6 linked regions of the Canis lupus familiaris genome follow. The protein of the gene in region 6 interacts with the protein of the main gene of each other region in a pairwise test. Links are inferred from orthologs where the notes say so. Each region holds a gene or a part of one and is shown on either strand. Other genes may lie near its edges.

Region 1 (4,147 bases), on a different chromosome or scaffold from region 6:
TAGATAAGACAGGTATGTTTTTGAAAGTAAAGGGGTGCCCCTCTGGCTCGTGGGTGAACATGAAACTCTTGATCTCAAGCCCCACTTTCAGTTGGTGTGGAGCCTATTTAAAAATAAATAAATAAATAAACAAACAAATAAATAAATAAATGCTACACATTCCTAGAGAACTGATTTTTTTTTTAAATAGAGAATGCATGTGTGCATGAGCGTGCAAGCAGGGAGGGGCAGACGTAGAAAGAGAGAATCCCAAGCAGGTTCGACACTCATTGCAGAGCCAACATATGGCTCAAACTCACAACCCTGGGATGATGACCTGAGCTGAAATCATAAGTTGGAGGCTTAACCAACTGAGCCACTCAGGCACTCAAGAACTGATTTTTAAATGAGGGCCAGAGTAGCAGCAACCTCAGTGAAGTTCCTGACACTGCTTCATTTGGGAATTCCTGAAATGTTTAAAAACGTTTCAAGGCTCATCATTATATCAACTAAGATGTAGAGATTTGCCAGATGAATAACCATTAGGGAAATAATGAAAGTGTGCTATCTATTTTAACAATTAAAACACAACTAGAGAACCCTATAAACTTTTTGTTACCAAAGACAGTATGAAAAGTCACATTTTTATAAAAGGAGTCTTGATCTATTTTAAATTTTGCAATAGCAATGCTCCTTTTTATGAAAATAATTCACTCCAGTATGTATAAAACAGTTAAGAAGACTTTAAATTATAAATACATATTCACATGATTTTTTTTAAATTTCAAGCTTTAAAAAAATCCAAAGTAGTCTGTGAAAAATATTCAACACCACAGAGATACATTTAAGAAAAAGTAATTGTTTAGACTAAAATTCCACATTCTAAAAAAATCAAATAATGAGTGCTTCTTGCCTCCTTCCTTCTTTTTTAAAGTTATACTTTAAGGATTTTATTTATTTGAGAGAGAGAGAGAGAGAATGAGTATGGGGGAATGGAAGAGGGAGAGGGAGAGGGAGAAGAAGATTCAGCCCTATGTGGGGCTCCATCCCAGGACCACAGGATCATGACCTGACCCTCCTAGGTGCTCCCTCTTTTTTAAGTTTTTATTTTAATTCCAGTTAATGAATAGTGTTATATTAGTTTTAGGTGCTGCCTCATTCCTTCTTAAAAGCAGTCATCTTTTTATGAGTTTCTTAATAGAAATGATTCCTTTCTAGAAATAGAAATAGATTCCTTTAAGCACTGTTAACTAAATGTCTTTGACTCCTTTTTCTCACAGTGGACAGTATGATGAATAAATACAATTAAGTGTGAATAAACTAGTTTCTCAGTTCACAAATAAAGCCTAGTCCTGAACACAGAAAGCAGTTTCCATTAATATCTAGTTCTGTAGTTAATCCTCAAAAGATCGAAACTGTGATTTTTTAAGCATAGGAAACGAGGCCTAGGGAAATCAAGCTCCTTTTTTTCACATCCTAGTTAGTTAACGGTAGCTTAGAGACTGAAGACACTCTTGCCTTGTAGTCTGATTTATGAGTACTGGGTTCCCATAAAAGAATAAGCTAAAAATGCCAAGACAAAGAAACGCTTATTTCAAAAATGGCCAATAGCACAATCTGTCTCTCCTCCCAAAACTCATATGCATGGCAGATTTTTGTGCTGCTAATGCTACATGAAGAAAATGTAGGCCTAATCTGTCCAGTCTTCCATCTCAGTGCAAAGGAAGGGGCTGAATTTAAGTGGAGCTTGTTCTGTACGGCCTCATCCGGCCAACAGGCAGAGCTCCAGCTCCCTCGGGCTCCGCAGGGGAAGAGAGCCCAGAAAGAAAGAACCATCACCAAACCCCACCCTGCTATATCTTAGGTAAATAAAAACCACGTAAATTAAAAAAACAAAAACAAAAAAAAGAGGGTGTAAGAGCAAGCAATGGGTGCTCCTTCAACGGTACACCCGTGCACATTTCCTGATCCTCTATCTCCTTTTGCTCGGTGTCCCTAATGCTTCCACCCTGGCATGGCTTCTGCATCCTGTGTTGATCTCTCCTTTGACTCGACCCAGTAGGTATGGCCTTCAACTTCATGGGCACCGACAGAGCGGGTGTCAAGACCTGGGAGAGAGACGCGTTTCCCAAGCCTTAGTCCAGCACAATCCAGCAGCACATCTTTATTTCTAGGCAACTTCCCCACCGCTCTTCCCCCCTCTCCCCCGCCACCAGCGCATCGGCCCCCCAAGACCTCCTCCTGGGTGTCCTCCGACCCCGTCCAAGCTGCTGTGAGTCGGCGCCCATCCCTCCCGGGCGCGGGATAGCCGGGCCCTGGGTCCCAGCCCCGCGCCCCGCGCCCCGCGCCCCGCGCCCCGCGCCCGCGCCGCCACCCCCCGGCTCCCGCAGCGCTCTCACCTCATCCAGGGTGCGGCGGCCGCCGCTGCCTCTTCCTCCTCGGCCGCCGCCGCCCAGCTGCCGGCCGCCTCGGGATGCCGTCGCTCCCGGCCCGGAGACTGCAGAGAGGGCTGCGGGGCTCGCGCCGCGTCCCCGGACCGGTAAGGCGCGAGGTGCGCGGGGCAGCGGCGGCGACAGCAGGACCCACCGTCCGCCCTCTTCATGGATTTCCCGGGCCCGACCGCGGTCCTCCTGGCCTCGGTCTTCCTACGGTCCTCCCGCGCCGCCCGGGAGCATCCTCCAGACGTGATGGTGGCGGAAACCTGCAAGGGCCAGGCCTCTTCCGCGGCTGCCTCTGCCACCTGCTCCGCCCAGACTGCTTCGGGGCCTCGCGCACAAACACCGCCGCAGCCTCCTCGCCCTCTCATCAACCCATTCTCTCTCCACCCACTACCTCAATCTGCAAACCTTTTCATCCCCGATAGCACTCCTTTTTGTCTTCCAATCTCCTCCAAGGTCACTGTCCTCAATTTCCCACCTTAAATGTTTCTCTTTTTCTCACGCCCTCTCCCTGTGATTTCCTGGGTTTTGCCTTCCTCCTCCCTCCAACTCAGTCATCTTTCTTTGCTCAGAGTCACTATTTTTCCAGGCCCCTGGCTAACCCCATTTCTCCTGCTTTCCCTCTTTTTCCCTCTTAAAATCTTTTTTTCCCTCTCAATTTTCCCTTTTGTTGTTGTAAAAACAAACAAACAAAACCTTTCCCCCAGAAAAAACACAGTTTTTCTTTCTTTCCCTTGAGACTCTGATTTCCATTTTTCATAAAGAACTCAAAGTATAGATCACTTGATCTCCAATATCAAGTCAAGGGGATGTATTCATGGTTTTAAAAAAGTTCGTAGGTCAAATAAATCCTCCACTTAATGTTCTTTCTGAAAAGCCCTTTCTTATATCCCAGTGTCCTCTAACAACAGAAGCTATTCAGAATCTAGCAGAGCGAAATGCTTCTGCTGCACTATATACTCACGGCTTGCAACAGAGGTTCATCTTGGTAGTAGGCACCATGGATCTCAAAGTTTACAGGCAAAAGTCAATATGGACTGTTGATGGATTCAGTGTAAACAAAGAAACTCATTCTTAACACATTTTCCTCCCAAACCTGCTGTTCAGTCCTCCCCCCCCCCCCTTTTTTTAACCCAATACTATCATTCACCTGGGCACGGTCAGAGACTTATCTCTCTCACTCATTCGCCTCATCCAGTCTTTAATTCTACTTCTTTACTATTTCTTTGAGTGTTCCCTCCAATCAGGATTCCAAATGTTTCCAGAAAATGGCACTATCAGGTATCTCACCATTCGTTCTTTCAAACCTCCCAGCTTAATCTGTCTTTACCTCTGTTTTCCCTTCAACCTATCTTACCTGGGCAATTTACCCTACCATTCCCATCTCTGCTAGAGACTCTTAATTATCTTCTGTTGTCTTTATATCTTTGGCATCACTTTCTCCATTAAGTCCACCCCTCTGCTATAAACATCCCCAAGTCTCCTCATGCCTAAAATAGAGTCCTCCCACCTCAACCTCTAACCACCATCATCTCTGGCTTCCCTTCATAACCAACTTGCTTAAATACACTGTATTCATTTGATAGCTATACTTCCTGATTCCCATTCATTCTTTACCACATCATTCTTTGCAACCCGGCTTCTTATTACTTAGACAAAGCTGTTCTCCTAGCCAACTGACTTTGGCTTTGCCCACAGAAAGGCAGTAGGTTCGATATAATATACAAAAT
Region 2 (4,042 bases), on a different chromosome or scaffold from region 6:
AAATGGGTTTTGAACTTTGCAATTCTGGTCTTTATAACCTTACTGAAATTTTCCTGCCAGTTCCAACCAAATTTTAGAAGTACTAACTTCTTTGGCAAATCCTAAACTATATTGATATAAGGGTAATATATATATATATATATATATGAAAATAAACATTTTTTTGTTTATGAGTTAGTAGAGACTTATAATTTTATCTTTTACAGTTCTTTAGAAAATATAGAGTAGATTTCATGTAATATTCAGAAGACTCAATGTAGGATAGTGAAAAATATTAGTTTGGGCTAGTATTCAGGAAACTGAAATGTTTTGCTCCCAGGTCTACTTTTAGCTTGAATAGTAGTGATTTAACCACATTTGGGGGCTTTTTATTTAAGTGAAGAATGGAGAGTTGGATGCTTTATTTATTTATTTATTTATTTATTTATTTATGCATTATTTATTTATTTTCAAGTAGGCTCTTGGCCCAGCCTGGAGCCCATTGCAGGGTTTGAACTCATGACCCCGGGATCAAGTCCTGAGCTGAGATCAAGAGTCAGAGACACTTAACCGAGTAAGTCACCCAGGTGCCCCTGCACTAGTTATTCTTTAAGAGTTCTTCAAGTTAAAAAATTTCGGGATTCTAAGTGCTTTTTGTTGGAAACATATGAAGAATTTAGGAAGGAAACAGGTTGCAGTTGTTAAGAAAGCTAGAATTGTTGACAAAAAGAATCATTGTGTGAAACTGAGAGGCTAGAAATAAGGATAAAGGAATACATCCCTGACTTAATTTAAAGAATAAAGAGATTTTTAGATGGGTAGAATCCTTTTTGACCTGGGTCCTGAGATAATGTAGGGCTATGTGAAATACACACATGTACACTTACAGCTCCATAATTTGATTTATAAATCCATATGTCCTTAATTTTAGCAAAACATCACAATGCATTAGTATTTTAAAGGGATCGATTTACAGGAAATACATAAAGGTCATATTTATGGACTTTCATATATTTGAAACTGCAAAGTGTATTATATGAGAGCTGTAGAATCCTTTTCCAAAGTATAGTTAGGCTTGAAATTTTATCCAAAGTTTTCATGTATATATGAAATATGTATCTAGTTTCTAAATAGCTTTCTTTAAAACCATAAACAAAAAATGTCCACTAAATAAACTGCAGTTCCCACTTAAGTTTATCTTTAAACAGAAAGCCTTGTATTTTAAACAGTATAGTTTAAAATTTTTTAATTAATATGTATAATATATTTACCAGAAACACTAAAAGTATACTCTAATGACATATATCTATATCTTGCCTGAAAACTAATTGAAAAGAGAAACTTTCAGCCAACGAAAAATTTTGATCCATAGTCTCCCCTAAAATTGTCAGAATACAAATGTATGCTGAATAAAATTGATTTCGGTTTGTTGAATCAGCATATTCCTTATGCAGATTCAATATACATAGCTTTTTAGAAGTTCAGCTGAATTTTCAGAAGTTTTGTGCAGAATTGCCTGCAATTCTGTGCAAACCTTCCTGCAAACAAAATGATATCTGAACATTATTTCTCACTTAAAAAAATTCTTTATTAACTTCCTAAAGAAACTTTTAGAGCCTTTGAGTTTGAACATCATGACAAAGTGGGGACCTGGGGACAATAAAAAAGATGCATCACTCTTGCTCAGTTTAAGACAAAGTCATATTAAGATGATCTATAGACAGCTCTTGACAGAAAAGTATTCAGTATAATTCTGTTTTAAAAAGCTGTTTTAATTCCCAGATAAATTCACTTGTCAGCTGCTATATTAATTCAATGTCCAGAAGATATGTACATTCAATTCAATCCGATATTAATAACTAAGGGAGTAGTTTGGTAACCAAAATAAATGTAAAGGGATTGATTGGTAACTTTGATTTTAAAAGACACAAACTACTTAAAATAAAAATTGCATCAGTAAAAAAGAGAGGTAAAAATTATTTAAAAATATAAAGGAAGATCCAAATATTCTTTAACTTAAAAAGTTTTTCAGACCTAATAGGCATGACAAAACCTGTCTTCATTCCTTTCTATTCAGCTCAGCAAGTACTTTTGAGCTCCAATAGTTAATCAGTTACCAGATTCCACAATCTTTGTTTTTCACACTTCTCAATTCTTACTGTGAATTGTTCCTGTAATGTACTTAGGATCACCAAGCAGGCCAACACTATTTTTTATGCCTTAAAAAGGCAATTATTATCATATTCACAATTAGATTGACCATATAAAATTGTTACCATATAGCAATGTCCTATAAAACATGATAGTATATTATCAAAGAAGTAGATGGCTTAACATGAATCATTAAGAGGAAATCTATTTAGTAAAAGTATTCAACCCAGCTTTCTTCATAACTAAAGCCATGCCCAACTTACAAAAAATAGTGTATTATATACCAAGTAATCTTTATCTAAACAAATCAATGAACTTATATTTAAGTATTATAAAACAATATTTAGCCAACTTGACATAAAAGGTATAATCCAGGCATTATCATGTTAAACATAGATACCTGTTTAAACATCATTTCTTAATTTAGCTTTTCAAAAGTGCATAGAAAATTGAGGAATATAAAAAAATATGTTAACTTACCCTTCAATTTATTTAGGAAACCTCTGCTCTGGGTCAAAAGCACAAGGTGTTTCACTTCTGACTTCTGAAGCTACAAACTTAAACAGTAAATCAGAGGAAGCCGCTTCTCTGGACCACACTAGAGTTTGCTAGACACTACTGCTATGTGAAAGAGTCCTGCTGCATCTAAGCTATATACAGTGTGCAATGGATAACCTAATATGCCTTTCATTTAACTGGCTGGGCAGGTTTCTACCGTCTGTGGAACATGGAATCAAACCAGAATATGTTGGCATAACAGGCCAGTCAAACCGGTTCTTCTGTAGATCCAGAACCTGTCCAACCAGTCTGCATCAAAGGCTAGCCCAACAAGCTGCAGCGGCTCAACTCTGCTAAGCTTGTATGGGTGAGTTATCCCCACCTCCCATCAACTCCCAACAAACTACTCAGAATGTTGTAGCCTCCAGCAAAATAATTCAGAGTTCTAGTGGGAGGGATAGATCTATGCAGGCATAGCAAGAGTCCATTGTTATAAACCTCTTATTGTAGATACTGGAGTATCTATCATCTTCAGAGGTAGGTAATCCTTTTAAAAATATACTTCAGGGCTTTCTGCAGATTAAAGCCTCTAGAAAGAGATTATCTACAATGAAGAAGAATCCATAATGCCTGACCTTTTCCACTAGTCCACTTGGCTCTGCTTGGTCTAGTTTAGCCTTGAGAGGGAAGTTCATATTCCCTACAAGGGTAGTGGCCCTGAGACCTAGATGGAGGCATTTCTAAAGGGAGGAAAACAAGGTATAAGTTGACCAGATGTTTGCCTGAATATGTTATCTTCCTTGTACTCAAATGATCCTCATATCATTCCAGTCTAAAGCTGGGAAAACCTCCTATTTCTATATACTAGGACAACTTGAAGGATTTTTACTTTGAATATTCAACAGTTGAACACAAATTATTGATACCTACCATGTGCCAGGTACAGGGTTACAGTGGTGTAAAAGAGAAGTTTAGTAAGAGATTGGAACAAGGTCCCAGTTCCCAGTTAAGTATGTGTAGTAATCTTTTGGAAGGAAGAAATAACAGAAGATCATATTTTGACAGAAATTGGTTGTATTAAGAGAGATCATGTGAGATTTGTTCTTCTCATAATATTTGCACATTTATAAACAGCCTTTCCTACTTACTGATACAGTGATTCTCAAACTTTCCTATTTATCATCTGAAGTGCTGATTATGAACAGATTACTGAGCCTTACCTCTTGAAATTCTGATTCAATAGGTCTGAATGTTCTTTAGCACTCTGGTGAATCTGCTGCAGCTGTTGAAGGGACCATAGACCCAGATTCCATGCTCAATTTCTTTTCTATATTAAAAATTGCCATATTCACTTTTCTATCTCCAGTGTCTAGAACACTGCCACTTAGAAAGTATTTAGTAAATGCTTATTAAG
Region 3 (3,947 bases), on a different chromosome or scaffold from region 6:
GTCTCAACCATGAAGAGTGAAAAATAATTTATACCCCTTCCTAACCACCAACATACAAGAAGAGAAATCAGCTGAAAATATGTAAGGTTCTCTGGACTGCTTCGGGCTACACAAAAAAATACTGTTTATTATACAAAAACAAAAAAATGAATACCCATATATCACAGCCAAAAACAAAAACAAACTAGGTGTTACCTCTTAGCCTGCCCATGGGAAGACACTACACTGCCAATCCCAGAAAACTGTTGGCATAACTACAAGTTGCCAAGCAATTCTCAACACAGACCACACTCTCTTAATATTTAATTTACACCGTGACTCTGTTAAACCTCATCCCTCTGACTGACAGATAAATACATAAACAATTCAAGTTATTAACTTATCTTTTTAAAAATTCCTAAGCACTGGGCAGCCCCGGTGGCCCAGCGGTTTAGCGCTGCCTTCAGCCCGGGGTGTGATCCTGGGGACTCGGCATCGAGTCCCACGTTGGGCTCCCGGCATGGAGCCTGCTTCTCCTTCTGCCTGTGTCTCTGCCTCTCTCGCTGTCTTTCATAAATAAATAAAATCTTTAAAAAAAAAATTCCTAAGAACTGATAAAGAGTGTGTGTAATCAAATAGCTGGAACTCCGGGAGTGTGTTCTGACTCCATCCCACCATTCCTAATAAAGCCTGAACAAATTTCAATACCTATGCTCTTTGGGCCGTCCTTACCAGAAAAGAAAGTGGAATCTTGCACAAGGGCCTACTAGTGCCTTGCACTGAACCCTATATGCCCTCTACATTCATTCAGCTAATCTAGAAAGGAAGTCAAAACAAGAATAAAATTTGATCAGTTCAAAGGGACTGGTAAGATTGTTAGATTAGATGTAGCATCTTCTAAGTTTTAAGTGTATAAAAATGTACAGCCCAGATACTTACAACGTTGGGCATGCAATAATAATAATAATCTGTTAATGTAACTAGGGCAAACATCTAGGCTAATTTTTTTCTTCTGGAAAAAAAATGACTTTTCGGCACACTGAAGCTGTCTCCGCTTCATCATGACAAAAATCATTTTGCCTAATCAAAACTGTATTAACATTGTACATTGCTTTCTGATGAATTTCTGTATCCTACTTGATGAAGATTTAAATAAATTCTTTTCCACCACAATGTTTTTCAGATGTTTAAGAAAGCTTCTGGTTTCTACATACAACTCCACATATACGACCTGAGTGCACCCAAAACTATTTTTTCAGTCTCCTTGATAACCATCAGATTTAAATTTGTCCATATGGATTCTCACACGGCAGGAAAGAGAAAAAAAAAAAAAAAGGTCTCCAGAAGTGAGCCCTAGACTGAGATTCATACAAAGATATAAATTCGTGCCTGCACTAAAAATGTGAATCTGTAAAATCAAGTTTCTGGGTGCTCATTCAACTTCATTTACAATTTGGATACCTACGAATACACATCAGCTCTTCACAAGAAGCTCAACCAGATGAATAATATAAGTCGGAAATATCACCTACGCTACTTTGCAAAAAAACTATTTCCACCATGTACGACCCAATCGTGGGGTTTTAGAGAGAGAGAGAGGGAATAGACACACAGAATAAAAGAAGGAAAGCACACTCACGGGGGGGGGGGGGGGAGAGAAAAAAAAAATTAGTTCTAACATTTATGTTCTCCTCCCTGTGCTGTGGAAGACCTCAGGCTCTAAACCAGCAAAAGATAAAGGTTTTAGCCTGCACGGGAGGCTGGATATTTACTGCATTTGCATTTAACCTCCACCGTGGAGGCTGTCAGCCAGCACCTGACTCGCTTGGTAACTGTTTACCTAACAGGTAGGAGACTGTCTTGCTAATCCTAAGGAGTCTGGGAAATAACAAAACTTTATCATCAAACTTTAAAATATGTGCATATACATATATATACATATATGCAAAAAGAAAACCAAAAGGTAAAAATCCCAGCCATGTTCATCTTCGATTTGCCTGTAAGTCCCTGCCTAACCTTAGAAGGAGGAGGAGGAGGAGGAGGAGGAGAGGCAGCACCTGAACACCGACTCGGCCCGCGAGCGTGGCTGGGGCCGGGGGCCGGGGGGCGGGGGGGCGGGGGGCCGGGGGCCAAGCTGCTCGCAGCCCGGTCGGGTCGCGGGGCCCGGGAACCCGCGCGCGTGGGCCGCGGCCTCGGCGGGGGGGTGCGGGGGGCGCGGGGGCCTCCCGGGGACGCCGCCTCCGTTGGAGACAATAAATAAGGGGCCGGAGCGCCGCTCGCCCCTGCACGGCCGCGCCTCCCGCCGGCGGAACAAGTCGGGCAGAGCCCCGAGCCGCCTCCCGCCTCCCGCCTCCCGCCTCCCGCCTCCCTCCCCGCCAGCGCCTCAACACTTGGAAACTACGAGGGCCGACGGCTCCTTCCCCTTCCCGCCCTCCTGCCCCCTCCGGACAGAGCCGGGGCGGGCGCGGGGGAGCCGGACCACGCAGCGCGGCGGCGGCGGCGGCGGCGGGGGATGCTGCGCGGCGGGGGCCCCGCTCGGAGCTCGGAGCCCGGGTCCCCCCCGCGCCCCGCGCCCCGCGCCCCCGCCGCTGCCCTCACGGGCTCCCGGCCTTCCCCCCCCCGCCAGGAGACAAAAGAGGGTTCAGCCGGGTCAGCGCTCGGCGCCGCGGACCCCAGCGCGGCCGCCCCCCACACAAAGGGGCTCCCGGCCCAGGGCGCAGCGTCGGCGCGCTCGTCCCCGCCCCGCGCGGGCTCTCACCCACCTGCAGGTGTCTGTGCGTCTGTCCATAGGAACGCGGGCGGCGGCGGGGGGGGCCGGGGGGCCCGGGCTGGACGGGGCGGGACCGAGGGGAGGGAGGGAAGGCGGCCGGAGGCCCGGGGCGCGCAGGCAGGGAGCGCGGGGAGGGCGCCGGGCGGGCGGCGGGCGGGGGCGGGGGCGGGGGCGCGGGCCGGGGGGGCGGGGGCCGGGGCGCCAGCCTGGCTCTGCGACCGGCGCGCGCCGCTCCGTGCGCCCCGGGCTCCGCGCGCCCGGCTCGGAGCTCGGAGCTCGGAGCGCGGCGGGCGGGGGGCGGGGCGCGGGCGGGGCGGGGCCGGCGGGCGGGCGGGGCGGGGGCTCGGACCCGGGCTCCAGCCGGCACCGGAAGCGCGCCGCGGGCCGCGAGACCCACAGGAAGTGTGTAACGACACCGCCGCGGAGCGCTCCGAGCTCGCGGCCGCCGCTGCCCGCGGACGTGCGCCCCGACCTTCCCGGCGGCGCCGGCGCGCACGGGCTCGCCCTCCGCGCCCAGGCAGGTGCGGCCGGCGCCGCGTGCGGGGGAGGGGGGGGGGGCGGGGGCGCCCCGGCCGGAGACCCCACGCCCCCCCCCCGCCCCGAGCCCCGGGGAGCGTCCCCCAGGCGCCAGGTGCAGCCCCGGCCGGTGACCCCGAGCACCGCCCCCCCGAGCCCCAGGGAGCGTCCCCCAGGCGCCAGGTGCAGCCCCGGCCGGTGACCCCACGCCCCCCCCCCAGCCCCGGGGAGCGTCCCCCAGGCGCCAGGTGCAGCCCCGGCCGGTGACCCCGAGCACCGCCCCCCTGAGCCCCGGGGAGCGTCCCCCAGGCGCCAGCTGCAGCCCCGGCCGGTGACCCCACGCCCCCCCCCCCCCCCGAGCCTCAGGGAGCGTCCCCCAGGCGCCAGCTGCAGCCCCGGCCGGACCTTGCGCCGCCCGCTGTAGCACCTGTCCTAAGGCACCGAGCGCCGGCACCTCTACATCCAGGTTCGGGAACACCTCCTGCTCGCGGGCAACCCAGTCACCGCTGCCCAGTGGAAGTTCCCAGTCCAACTACCGCACTCGCGTCCATCCCATGGCGGGGGGGGGGGGGGGGGGGGGGGGCATGACACCTAAAACACACGAGGACCACCGAGGCAGGCACTGATTCCCCGCCCCCCTACGCACCTCGGGACCACAGGGGCAAGGCTGGCGCCCCCCACC
Region 4 (4,172 bases), on a different chromosome or scaffold from region 6:
CTTGCTCTGGCAGGAAGGAAGCCAGAATAGGTTTCTCTCTTCAGCTCTTTTTTTTAGAGCCCACACTCCCACCCCACCTAACACACACAGTTGCATAAGCTTCAGGCCCGTGAAACCCAGACCCACCCCTCCGGTCCTCCACACTAAGGAAACAAAGCTAGAATTCCTAAAACCCCAAGTTATCATTTATTAATTTTAAGCGTTTCTCAATAGTCCAGGCAGAGGGAGAGAGGCAAGTGGGGTCCAACAGTCTTTTGTGGGTATTGTTCTTAATGGCATTACTTTTACCGGGATACAAAATTAAGTCTTGGAAAGTATGACTAGATAAAAGCTGCTTTCATTACATAGAAGTATATGTAATCCCGAATAGTTATTACCAATAAAAATTAAGTAATGCATCGTGGTGAAACCAGATTGCCAAAGCAGAACTTATTTTCAATACTAAACAGTCTGTTGGTGCCAGGAGTGACAGCAGGTTAAACTAAAAATCGGTCCGCTCTCGCTCCGAATCCAGCGGGGTCGCGGTGCATCACAAAACTCAGAGGGCCACCAGTGCTAATCGTGGGGTTCGATTAAAGAATCGCAACAAGTCGTATCCGATAAGCACTAGGTTTGCAACCATTTTCGACACGAAGAGGAAAACAATCCCAAAATTCCTGCTGTCATCTCCGGGCTTTGGCTACCGAAATTTTCAAGCTCGGGGAACGATTTCCTACAGGCTCCAGGAGCGAGCGAGCGGCGGGAGCGGCGGGCTCCGCACCGTCCCACACCTTCCGGTCCCGGCGCCAGGCGTGGAGCGAGCGGCTCTGGGCTGATGGGTGGCACCGTCCTATCATCTGGTGGCTGGTTCTGGGGGGCTGTGGTCGCTGTGGTGCGGGTGGGACAGCCCGGGGCGTCGGGCACTTCTCTACCCGCGGCGTTACTCGGAAGATGGCCCGCCCCGCCCCGCCCCGCCCCGCCCCCGCCCCCGGCAGGCCCCTAAGGCACTCCCGCGGCCCGCTCGCGGCCCGTCCATCTGGGACTGGTCCCGGGCCAGTTCGGGGGGCACCGGCGGCCTGGTGGCGCCCGGCCCCGGCCCCGGCCCCGGCCCCGGCGAGGGCGCCTCGGGAAGGTCTCCTTGGGGCGCCCAAACACCGGGGCGGCGTCGCCGCGGGAAGCAGAAAGGCGGCCGCACGCCCTTCCCCGGGGCCTCGGCCAGGTCCCAGCCCGGCGCGCCCGAGCGGGAAGGGAGAGCCGCCGCCTAGTCCCCAGGAGGCCGCGGGCCCACCTCAGCTCCCTCCCGCCCCGCCCCCGCCGTCGGCCCCACCTCCCCGCTAGCACAAAGCCGTCCCGAGGCGGGGGCGGGGGCGGGGGCCGGGGCCGGGGCCGCGCGAGGCCGCCGAGACGCGACCGGACGGCGGACGGCGACCCCGAGGCTGGGGCCGCGCAGGCCGCCGATCCCCGGGCCCGCCCGGAGGTCCCGTCCCGTCCCGTCCCGTCCCGGACGGAAAGGCCGCGCTTGCCCGCGCCGCCCTCGGGGCGCCCGGCGCGACCCACGCCGCCTCGCCAGCCAGGCCCGGGGTGGCGGCCGGGTCGGGGAGCGCCGAGGGCCGCGGGCTCGCTCGCGGGGCCGTGCACGCGCCGCCCGACGGGGAGAGCCGAGCGGCTGCGGGCCCTCTGGCGCCCCCGCGGACGTGCCCGCTCGAGGCCCCAAGTCGATTCCCCTCACTTCCCGGGGCCCCGCGCTGGCGCACCTGCGGGGGCGACACGCGGGGCGGGGCGGGGCGGGGCGGGGGGACCCCGGGGCCGCGGCACCCCCGGCGCCCGCGCCTCGGCACAGGGGCGCACGGGCGGGCGCGCACACACGCTGCCCGGCCGGGCCCGGGAACATGGCCGTTTGGGCTCCGGTGTAAGGGCCCTTTGTTGCGCTCACACAAAAGCGGCCGGACCCGCTCGGCTCGCAGGCCCTTCGCGCAAATCGAGGGAGCTCGGCTGAATTTCCAAGTGGCCTTAGAGGCCTGAAGCGGCGGGAGCGACCAGGGGGAGAACGCAGGCCTCCCGCCTCGTCGGCCCGAGCTGTGCCAGGGGCCAGTGCTCGCCCCGGGAGGCGGCAGCGGAGGTCGCCCGCGGGGACCGTCTAGGCCCAAAGGGGGTATTAGACGTTCGCATTCTTGTAGGGTTCCTCCGCTTAACCAAGGTAGAAACGTAATCTGGAAAAGTCTGGATACAACAAAAAGAAAAAGAAAAAAGAACGAAAAAAAATACCAACAATAGCAACTAAAAAAAAAAAAAAAAAAAAAGCACACACCAAAAACAAAAACATAACAAACCAGTTGCCATCAGCCCAAAGCGGTAGCAGCAGCAGCCGGCGCGTGTGATCCACTTACTTGTCCGACTCTTGTGACATGTTTGATCCAATGAACTCGCTCCCCTTTTCCTGGAGCCTCAGCCTCTGGTGAAACTGGACTTTCAAGTCTGTGCAGGTGACGGTGTGTGAGCGCGCCCGAGATGGCAGAACAAGAGCTACAGGTAATTCTGCTTTTCCGTCCCCCCGCACCGCTCTCGCTCGCTCGCGCGCCCGCGCCCTCACCTAGCCGGAAAGGTGGGACAAGGGGGGCCTCACATGGGGCCCGGGCTCGGAGGCGGCCGCGCGGCGCGGAGTCCTCCCGGATCGTGGCAATGGGCGGCCACAGAGCAGAAAGTGGCGGACTTGGGCGGCCACAGGTAACTTTCTCGCAGGGAGCTGAATTCTTTCACTAAAGGATACAAGCCCGAGGGACGAGCTGCGCGGTGATTGGCTGCGAGGCTCCCTCAGGTGAGCTGCCATTGGCAGAGGCGCGCTCAGGTAAGGCCCTTCTCCAAGTGCAGGTAACTCACTCCGTAGTTTACCTGCGTGGAGCGGCGGCACGCCTGCAGCTCTGCGGCCGCCCGTGGGAGCGGAGGGTCGCTGCTCTGAGCAGACCTACGCCACGCTCCCTTCCTCGCGGAGAACGGCCCGGGGGGCGGGAGGAGAAAAGCAACACCTGCAACCACTAGGGATTGTGGGTCAAACGGAAGGCCTAAGGAGAGCTGAACTCAGGTACCCCAAGCCGCCCGGAATCAAACGCGCAGCCTGACCGCAAGGCTTTGAATACCCACTTTTTGACGTTGTCAGAAGAGTGAGGGCCTCAAGTTTACCTTGTGCTCCGAAGGGTAGAAACACAAAGATTGCCGAGTCGGTTGTGTAATTGCATTTTTAACATTCTTATCCAGAACAAACACTTTTCGTGTCCCGATGTGTAAAAGATACCAGGTAGATTACAGATTTTCACATGGATGAGCATCCTTTCATGGGCTAGGCCGATGAAGAGTGGGGTGGTTCTGATGGGGTGAGAAGATTTGGGGTGAATAGACGCTAAGATGGCCCAGGCCTGTGTCTTCTATCTCAACTCTAGCCTGGGATTCCAGAGCTGCAAACAACCACCGAATCCCTTCTATAAACCTGTTGTCATTTGACGTTTCCAGGCAGGCATCAACATTTACATTGTAATTCAATAGAAGCAGCGACTACAAAGGTGCTTTATCCTTCCAGCTTAATATGGTTGCTATGGAAACAATTCAGGATGAAACTGACTTTTTTGCGGTTCTGTTTCCCCTGGTTGGGAACAACGCAGATTACCAAAGGTTTAATTTATAACCACTTGTTCCTAAAGAACATTGGTGAAAGTTCTGACAGGAATGTAGTCCATACCTATGAATCGTTGAACTAAGGAAAGCATGGAGAGTATATCATATTTTATTTCAAGTTAATACTACATTGCCAGAAATGATACCCAACTTCTATTTTAATCTTTATGGACCAGATATTTCCTGAAAATTATGCCCTGAGACAGGTTGTTTGTTTGTTCCATGTTTCATGCTCAGCAAATGAATTAAAACTTTTATTCTCACACAGTATAAGCACACACACTTTTTAAATATAACATATTTAAATACAATACAATACCCACTGTTTCTCTACCTTCTTAATCTCCTTTCTAAAAGCATCCACATTCCACTTTTAGCCATCTCTTCTGTCATTGACCTCTTTCTTTTTTCTTTCTTTCTTTCTTTCTTTCTTTCTTTCTTTCTTTCTTTCTTTCTTTCTTTCTTTCTTTCTTTCTTTCTTTCTTTCTTCTTTCTTTCTTTTTATAAAGATTTTAAGTAATCTCTAC
Region 5 (3,500 bases), on a different chromosome or scaffold from region 6:
CCATTTAATTTGTTCTCCAAATTCACCTGCTCCTGACTTGACTTTGGCCATTTCTCAAGTGAACTGTAATGGTTACTTTGGATTATTTTGTAACATATGTGCCTTTTGGTGACTGAAGAGGCTTGAAAAGCTGCAGCATTTGAACCATAGAGATGTTTGGGGCCTGGGCAGTTATTCTGTACTGTGAGACTACAAATCTGTATGGCTTTCTCATCTTTTATTTTGGAGAATAAACTTCAGCAGTGCTGTAGGCCCAAAAGACTCTGAGTGTTGTTAATTTGTATTAAGATGAGTTTAGGCATCCATGGAAGAGGTTTGCTGCCGGTTAACTGCTCATCGTTAACCCCTTGGTAAGCCTAATGGCTCTGAGCTGGGGTTGAATCAGCTTTCTCATTACTCTTCTTTCTAGACCACGCCCGTGACCATGCAGGTTGGAGAAGGTCAGCAGGTCCAGATTGTTCAGGCTCAGCCACAGGGTCAAGCCCAGCAGGCCCAGAGCAGCACCGGACAGACTATGCAGGTGATGCAGCAGATCATCACGAACACAGGAGAGATCCAGCAGATCCCGGTAAGCCTGCTCTGCCTTGCATCTGCAAGGCACTGTGCTCCTGTTGTAACGAGAGTGCTTATAGATCTTAAACGCACACACAGAATATTGCATATACCCATGTGTATATATGTACGTACATTTCTCTAAACTTATATCTGTGTAAGTGCAGACCACAGCTTGCTTCACTGTATGCTCACTGCTCTCTTTTAATCCTGCTCAGGTTTACCACCGTGGGGCAGCTCCTCTCGATTTCCCTGCACTCCACCTATGCAAAGAATGCTCGTAACCACTGTTCATGCCAAGACCCAAAGGCCCTGTGAGGCAGCCCTCCCTGTCTTTTGATTAGCAGAGAATAAGAGGGAGGTGTACAGAGAAGGCCATAAATACACTTGTTGCATATTCATGAGTCAGTTCCCAGTGGAGCCTGCAGCAAAGTGTATTTTTGGCTTTCATTTAACTTATCCATCCCTTCACTGTGGACTGCTGCTTCCTGTGTGCCTTGAGGGATTTCATTTCTTGGATTTGTTGGCTTTTTTACTTATACTTGCTCTTTTGTAAAAAATGCCCCATCTTAACACTTGCCATCTATACATTGGTCATTTTGCCACCCAAAGGTGTGGAAAGTGAGTGACACGGAGCAGTACTTCTCTTTCCTGCCCCTTGCCCTTCCTCTTGTAAATGACACGTAGGCAGATAGAGAAACTCGCTTGGACTTGGTTAACTACTTCCTCTTTGAAAAAGCTCCATTTTTGAAACTGTTCTTATTAAGTTAACAGGGTAATAGACCAAGAGAAAACTTAGGGAAAGTGGAGTGTGTGTGTCTCTATCTTTCCGTCTCCCCTCCTGCCCTTCCTCCTTTTCTCTACTTTTTGGTGCACTCTCCCTCTGCTAGAGCTTGCACCCTCTCACTCCCACTTTTTTCCTCTCTCTCTCTCTCTCTCTCTCTCTCTCTTTCTGTCTCTTTCTCACATACATACCCCTCTTAGTTCCAGGTGCCTTCCCTCACTGTCTCAGCCACCAACCAAAGACCTCTCTTGAATGGTTCTCAGTTTTACATGTGAAGGCGCCAGAACTTAAGCCAGAGAAGAAGAGTTCCCTCTTTGCAGTAACTTTAACTCCACAGTCTTTTTAACCTTCCAGGACACAGAGCGTTAGCACAGATTTGCTGCAGAATTCACTATTCTCAGATAACTTCTGCAGAAGTCTGCACTTCTAAATTCCTCAGAGTGCTCGCTCCAATAGAGAGGACATTCAGGAAGGAAGCTTTGCTTCTTTTTTGAAAGTCCAAAGGGCAGGTGTATTTGTCCTGTAATTAACATCAAAACGCTGCCAGGGTCCCCAGACCGATCATTGTGGCAGAGCATCACCAGATGTGTAAACCTAAGCCTAAAAGAGCTTCTGCTTCTAGGAACTGCTTGGAACTGTCTGGCTCACAACTTTTCAGTCGCATCTGAGTTTCTGCAAAGAGCTCTTCCCAGCTAGGAAATGTAAAATCCCTGTGGTTGTCACTACACCTTCCCTGTTCTTGGGAATAGGCTTTAGTCTTTCATCCTGTGTTCCTTGGCTGGAGTTCTGGTGACTCTGGGACCAGCCATGATTGGTCCCAGCAGACGATCTTCCCCAGCTTCTAGCCAGCTGCCTTCATCCCCAAAAGCAGCTTAGTGTTGTTGCCCAGCAGCCACATTATGGGACTTCAGGCGGGGCCAATCTGTGCCTGGCATCACAACTTCCAGCAGCTCTTCTTGGCATAGTCTCTCAGAAAGAATTGCAGGTCATAATATCTTGCCCTGTCTCATGTGAACCAGATTAACGAGTTTAGGTTTTCTATTCCTCCAATTTGCTGTAAGTGGACAATTCTGAAATTTGGTCTACCAAGAACTTCTAAGAACTACACTTACTACCAAGTATTTGTCTTTTCTTGGTGGTTCAAATCCTCTTTGAAGCTGAAGTTGTAGAGAAGCAGTGTGATTTAACACTGCAGGCAGGAGTGCAGCTTCGTGTATCAGCATTTTCCTCATGGAAGTAAAATTCCCTGCAAGGGAATTCGGTCTTAAATTCCCTTTGCTCCAGGACAAAGAGACATGACTTGCCCGTTTGCCTCACGAAGTTCACTGCTGCAACAATGGCAGGCTGGGCAGCCAGGGAGAGTGGTTTCTGAGCCCCCGGATAGAGACCAGTCTGTCCTCCTGGCACCACTTTTCATCACCCAAATCCCGAGTGTGAATGTTGGCAGTGCTCTGCTGACTCTCCTCTGCTGAGCCACGGTTCCTCTCTTGCAGCCAGCCGCCTTGGTCTCTCCATTCCTGCCCGAGGCACTGAGACTTTCATGGTACACTGGAGCGTTAAGAGTCTGAGTTAAGGCTTTTAGTGAACAATTAAATGCAGCATGTGGTATTATTGTATTATCTGAGACTTAATCTTAAGCATGAGGGACTCTAAGGGCATTTTTGTAGCTTTGGTTTCCCATGATGGGGTTTTCTGTGAAATATTTATTGATTCAGCTTCCCCTTGGGAGGAGTTTGGCCAGAAGAAAGTGCTGAACACCAAGGATCCTAAAAGTCCCACAGACCCCTGTTGGTTCTGGCTCTTGGGGACCGAGATAGTGAAGCAGGCTAGCTTTTTCTTCCAAGATGTGCAGCATGGGTCGGGCAGGACTAGGGCTAGGGCGCAGAGTGCTGGCCATCTGCTTTGGGCTCCTGACAGATGCTGGAGTTCTCAGTATTAGATCAGCCATCCCAGGAATTGGCGTGGCGGAGTTTGGAGATAGAGTGGAGAATGGCCCACACTTACGGTACAAAGCATTCCGATCATGTCTGACAGTATGGGATAAAATCCTAAGATAAACTGAACAAACGGCTGAGAGCCAGTGAATGTTGAAGGTGTGGCCATGCTGTTCCTCACATATGTGACCAGATCCTCTGGGAATTTTCTCCAAAGTCCACTTAGGGAA
Region 6 (3,926 bases):
GAGGTGGTGGGAGGGGAGGCAGGGGACGCGAGGGAGGGGGTGCGGTGTGTAAAGTTGCGAAACTGGTTTTTCGTATTTTAAACAGCACCTTTCACATGCCATTGTGGTGACCGCCATCTCCCATTATTGTTCCAAATCTCATTTCATTTTGAAGATCAATGAGTGTTTTCTCTGGGTTTTCAGGACACAGGCAAGAATAATAGATCATTGAACTTTAGGATGCCTGTTAACTTCCTATACAAACACTCTCCACTTTGGTCTCACTAATCTGCCCTTGATCAGCAATTTAAATGCTAAAGCTTTGTTCCTCCAAAGGGGGGGGAGTGTGTGTGTGTGGGGGGGGGGGGGGGGCGACGTTACAGATAATATGCGAGAAGGCACTATTAAGGGATGCACAAGTTATATTCGAGCCAGTCCTGCTGTCACCAAAAACTGCTTTTAAAAAAATTCCCCACTCTTTCTAATGAATGTCACGAGAAGCAACTGGGGTATAATATAGGAATCAATTTATAAAGCTTAGCCTAAACCGATTAATTTGTTGCCTCCAATCCTGAGTCCAATAAAGTCCTAGTGTTCCTCCAGTCACTTATTCTATAAAAAGATCAAGTTATTTACTGCCAATTAAGCAGCCTGTTTTGTCTTTGTCCTCTGTAAGCCGAGAGTGGAGGCTCCCCCCGAGGCTCCCGGCTATCTGCTCAAGACATTCAGCTGATACCTCAGAAGGGAGAGGGCGAACTTTGCCTGTCCCCGGCCCAACTTGGCTGCTGCAAAAAAAAAAAAAAAAAAAAAAAAAAAAAACAACCAGGGGAAGGGAACGAAACAAGGACTCGGGTTCCTTAAATAGGCCGATTTTAAACACATTTCCTCCGAAAGAGTCCCGGAACGTGTGTCCAGTGACCGCACAATAAACCAGAATAAGAACTGCACCAATTAAGCTGTAACAAAACCCTGAGACTTTGGAAACAGGACCACTCTAAAACCCATTAGCATTGCATTTATCCGAATGCATCATACCTTTATGTAAATTGATTTATCTGATGCATTTACTCGAGGAATTGCTTTTTGTTACAATTTCAGCCCTAACCCAAATGAATCTGCATTTCCTGCCCGAGGTCTTTAAACTGTTTCCCCCAACGTTTTAATCGCTCCGAATTCCTTTTTAAAAGGGGAGAGGGAGGGAGGAGATTCCAAGCTCTTCCCCGCCCCCATCTTTGGTGAGAGGTAAATATATATGTATATTTTTTTCGAAAAGGAAACATTACACTGAGAAAAGCATCCAGTAACCCCATTAGCTAAAGCTCTTAAGGACAAGCAATACCTTAATGCTGATTAAATCTAAAAGAGATGAATCAAGAGGACTGACCAGAAACTGACTCCCCTGATAACTAAGGACGGGCCCTCATCAAGTTTCATTTAGAGTTGGAAAAAAAAAAAAAAAAAAAAAAGAAAGCTTTTAAGTTAAATAGGCTTATACTCTAGTAATTACATAGCCAAGCAATTTAGGTCCTGGGATAGTCAGTGAAATAGAAAGCAGAACTGGCAGCTAGAGGCAAAATCTGCCCCCCTTTAACAACGTCTCTGGTGTTTTTTAATGGAGACCAGGGGAGGGACAAACGTAGCGCTGGCAATTTGTAGTACAAAAATGGATGCTTAATTCATGTCTTGATTTTAATTAGGTGATTCACCGGATTTCTCCTGGATTGGAACAAAAGACTTATAAGCCAAGAGGAATTTTTGAAAAGAACCAGCAATACTGAATCCTGCTCACTTAGATCCTTTCTGCCACTGTTTCAAAAATAGTGTTTACTGGGGGGCTGGGGGGGGGGGTCGTGACTATTTCCCCCACACTACTTCTCATACTTAAACCCTCATTTAAGCACCTCCGGCCTTTCCCTTAGGAACTGAAAATACCCCCCCACTACCACACACACACACACACACACACACACACACACGCACACACGCACACACACCCCTCCCCACCCTCCCAGGTCCCCAGCAGCCCCGTCTCCAAGAAGAACCCTTTTGTAAGCAGGAACCGCTACAAAGCTGGCGGCCCGGGGCCGGCTGCCCTCCGTGCTAGCTCGCAGGCCGGCCTCGGTAGTTTCAGACTCGCGCATTATCCAAGCCGACGTATTGTTTACTTGCAATTTGGGACGGTCAAGGGAAGGAAGCCAAAGAAAACAGCCCTGGCCCACATCGGCCCCCTCCTCCCTCTGCCCCCCCTCGCCCGCGGCTCCCCAGCCGTCCCCTTACCTGCTTTTCCCCTATATTGCAATACTGCGAGAGGCGGCGGCGGCGAAAAGCGAGCGAAGCCGCTCGGCTTCCAAGGAAGGGGCGCCTTGGCTGGCGGAGCTGGAGGGAGGGGGGATGTTCTCGCAGAAGCAGGAAAGGGGAGGAGGGGGCTAAGGGCTGCTTTTTTTTTTTTTTTTTTTTTTTTTTTTTAAACGCGTCGCCCTGAGGCTGGGTCGGGGGGCCCCGCCGTAAGCGGCAGGCGGCCGGGAGCTGGAGTGTCAGGCTGAGTCCTCCGCGTCGTCCTCCGCCTCCGCCTCCGGCTCCGGCTCCGCGCGAGCAGCTGCAGGAGCCCGCGGCCCGCGCGGCGCGGCTTCAGGCGCGGCGCAGCGGCAGCAACTGCTGCAATCGCTGCTGCAAGTTTGGCAATGTGGCTTCACTTTGTATATGCCCCCGCCCCCGCCCGCGCGCCTCCCGCTCCTCCTCCTCCTCCTCCTCCTCCGCCTTCCTCCCTCCCGCGCGCCCGCCCGCCCGCTCGCTCGCCCGCTCGCTCGCTCGGGGCCGGCGGCGGGCGCTCGGCCGCGCTTCCTGCCCCTCCAGCCGGGGAGCGGCCGCGGGCACCAGAGCCCCGGAGCGGCGGCGGCCGGCGCGGAGGCCGGGAGCCGGGGAGCTGCGGCCGGCCGGGCCCGGCGCGCTGGAGCCTGCGCCGCTGCCCGGGCTGCTGCTGCTGCGGCGGCCGCCCGGCTCGGAGGAGGCGGCGGCGGCGGCGGCGCTGGCCTCTAGCCGGCTCGCTCGCTCCCTGCGCGGCGCTTACACATGTGTTACTGACAGAGCCGAATCCCAACTACTCCCCGGCTCTGCCGCCGACGTCAGCGACCCTCAGCCACTGGGCGGCCGGGTTGTTCAGGCGGAATAATAAAACCTGCCAATCCGGGGCAGGACAAAGGGAGGACTGGAACGAGACTCCGCGGGCGGGGGAGCGGGGGAGGCGGCGGGCGGAGACGGCCCGGCCGGGGGCAGGTGGGCGGCCGAGCCCCGGGGACCCTCGCGGGACCCCCGGCGGGACCCCAACCCCCTCCCGCGGGGGGCAGGATGGAGCGGCCGGGGGCGCCGCTCCTGCCCGCGCCGGCGATCGCGGGGACCCGCACCCGCGCGCCCCTCGGGGACCCCCCCCCCGCGCGCCCGCGCGAGCCCCGCAGGAAACTTCTCGTCTTGCTCAAAAATGGGTCCCCTCCTGTTGGGGAGGAAGAGTCTCCCCGAAACCTCCGGGCGGGGGGCTTCGCTCGCACGCAGAAGAGGTTTTGTTTTTCTGCCTTTAATTCGCGGGCGTTGGAGACGGATGAGCCCTTAGTGGGAAGTTGAGCGAGCGAGGAGGTGGGGACCGAGTCCGCAGGTCTTGCAGGACTTGGCCGCCCGGCCCCGGTCCCCCGCGTGGGCCCGAGCGCCGGCCGAGAGCCCCGTGGGCGTCTCGTAGGGGATCGTCCGAAGTCGGAGCTGAAGAGCTCACAGCCCGGACTTTGGGGGTCCAGGGGAACTTCAGGGAGGAGGGCTCGGCCTCCATCCACCCCTGCTGTGCAGGAGGAGAGGCCCGATTCCTCAAGCCCCCCGTCCCCCCCCCCCTCCCCCCCCAGACAGCAACAAGGAATGGCAACATTCACCATCCCACAGCCTCTGGGGAGGAAGAAAGGTCACGT

The links.
Region 1: the proteins of LMO4 (region 6) and PDE4DIPP2 interact in binary tests that used the Homo sapiens proteins (3 or more experiments, as listed by UniProt). The two-hybrid records come from large-scale screens. The link is inferred for Canis lupus familiaris from reciprocal best matches to the Homo sapiens genes LMO4 and PDE4DIP.
Region 2: the proteins of LMO4 (region 6) and RBBP8 interact in binary tests that used the Homo sapiens proteins (3 or more experiments, as listed by UniProt). The link is inferred for Canis lupus familiaris from reciprocal best matches to the Homo sapiens genes LMO4 and RBBP8.
Region 3: the proteins of LMO4 (region 6) and KIAA1958 interact in binary tests that used the Homo sapiens proteins (3 or more experiments, as listed by UniProt). The two-hybrid records come from large-scale screens. The link is inferred for Canis lupus familiaris from reciprocal best matches to the Homo sapiens genes LMO4 and KIAA1958.
Region 4: the proteins of LMO4 (region 6) and GRHL2 interact in binary tests that used the Homo sapiens proteins (3 or more experiments, as listed by UniProt). The two-hybrid records come from large-scale screens. The link is inferred for Canis lupus familiaris from reciprocal best matches to the Homo sapiens genes LMO4 and GRHL2.
Region 5: the proteins of LMO4 (region 6) and NFYC interact in binary tests that used the Homo sapiens proteins (3 or more experiments, as listed by UniProt). The link is inferred for Canis lupus familiaris from reciprocal best matches to the Homo sapiens genes LMO4 and NFYC.

The regions. Positions count from the first base shown.
Region 1 is NC_049238.1:57,721,410-57,725,556, reverse strand, and holds the start of PDE4DIPP2 (myomegalin), read right to left. Parts: upstream 2,801-4,147; 5' UTR 2,786-2,800; coding exon 2,379-2,785; intron 1-2,378. UniProt on the Homo sapiens protein: Functions as an anchor sequestering components of the cAMP-dependent pathway to Golgi and/or centrosomes.
Region 2 is NC_049228.1:65,368,909-65,372,950, forward strand, and holds the start of RBBP8 (DNA endonuclease RBBP8), read right to left. Parts: upstream 2,801-4,042; 5' UTR 2,611-2,800; intron 1-2,610. UniProt on the Homo sapiens protein: Endonuclease that cooperates with the MRE11-RAD50-NBN (MRN) complex in DNA-end resection, the first step of double-strand break (DSB) repair through the homologous recombination (HR) pathway.
Region 3 is NC_049232.1:67,371,934-67,375,880, reverse strand, and holds the start of KIAA1958 (uncharacterized protein KIAA1958 homolog), read right to left. Parts: upstream 2,801-3,947; 5' UTR 2,742-2,800; intron 1-2,741.
Region 4 is NC_049234.1:3,333,881-3,338,052, reverse strand, and holds the start of GRHL2 (grainyhead-like protein 2 homolog), read right to left. Parts: upstream 2,801-4,172; 5' UTR 2,387-2,800; coding exon 2,367-2,386; exon of another isoform or gene 2,310-2,366; intron 1-2,309. UniProt on the Homo sapiens protein: Transcription factor playing an important role in primary neurulation and in epithelial development. Binds directly to the consensus DNA sequence 5'-AACCGGTT-3' acting as an activator and repressor on distinct target genes.
Region 5 is NC_049236.1:2,343,200-2,346,699, reverse strand, and holds part of NFYC (nuclear transcription factor Y subunit gamma), read left to right. Parts: intron 1-409; coding exon 410-568; intron 569-3,500. UniProt on the Homo sapiens protein: Component of the sequence-specific heterotrimeric transcription factor (NF-Y) which specifically recognizes a 5'-CCAAT-3' box motif found in the promoters of its target genes.
Region 6 is NC_049227.1:61,435,912-61,439,837, forward strand, and holds the start of LMO4 (LIM domain transcription factor LMO4), read right to left. Parts: upstream 2,801-3,926; 5' UTR 2,257-2,800; intron 181-2,256; exon of another isoform or gene 89-180; intron 1-88. UniProt on the Homo sapiens protein: Transcription cofactor. Plays a role in establishing motor neuron identity, in concert with MNX1, acting, at least in part, to disrupt LDB1-LHX3 complexes thereby negatively modulating interneuron genes in motor neurons.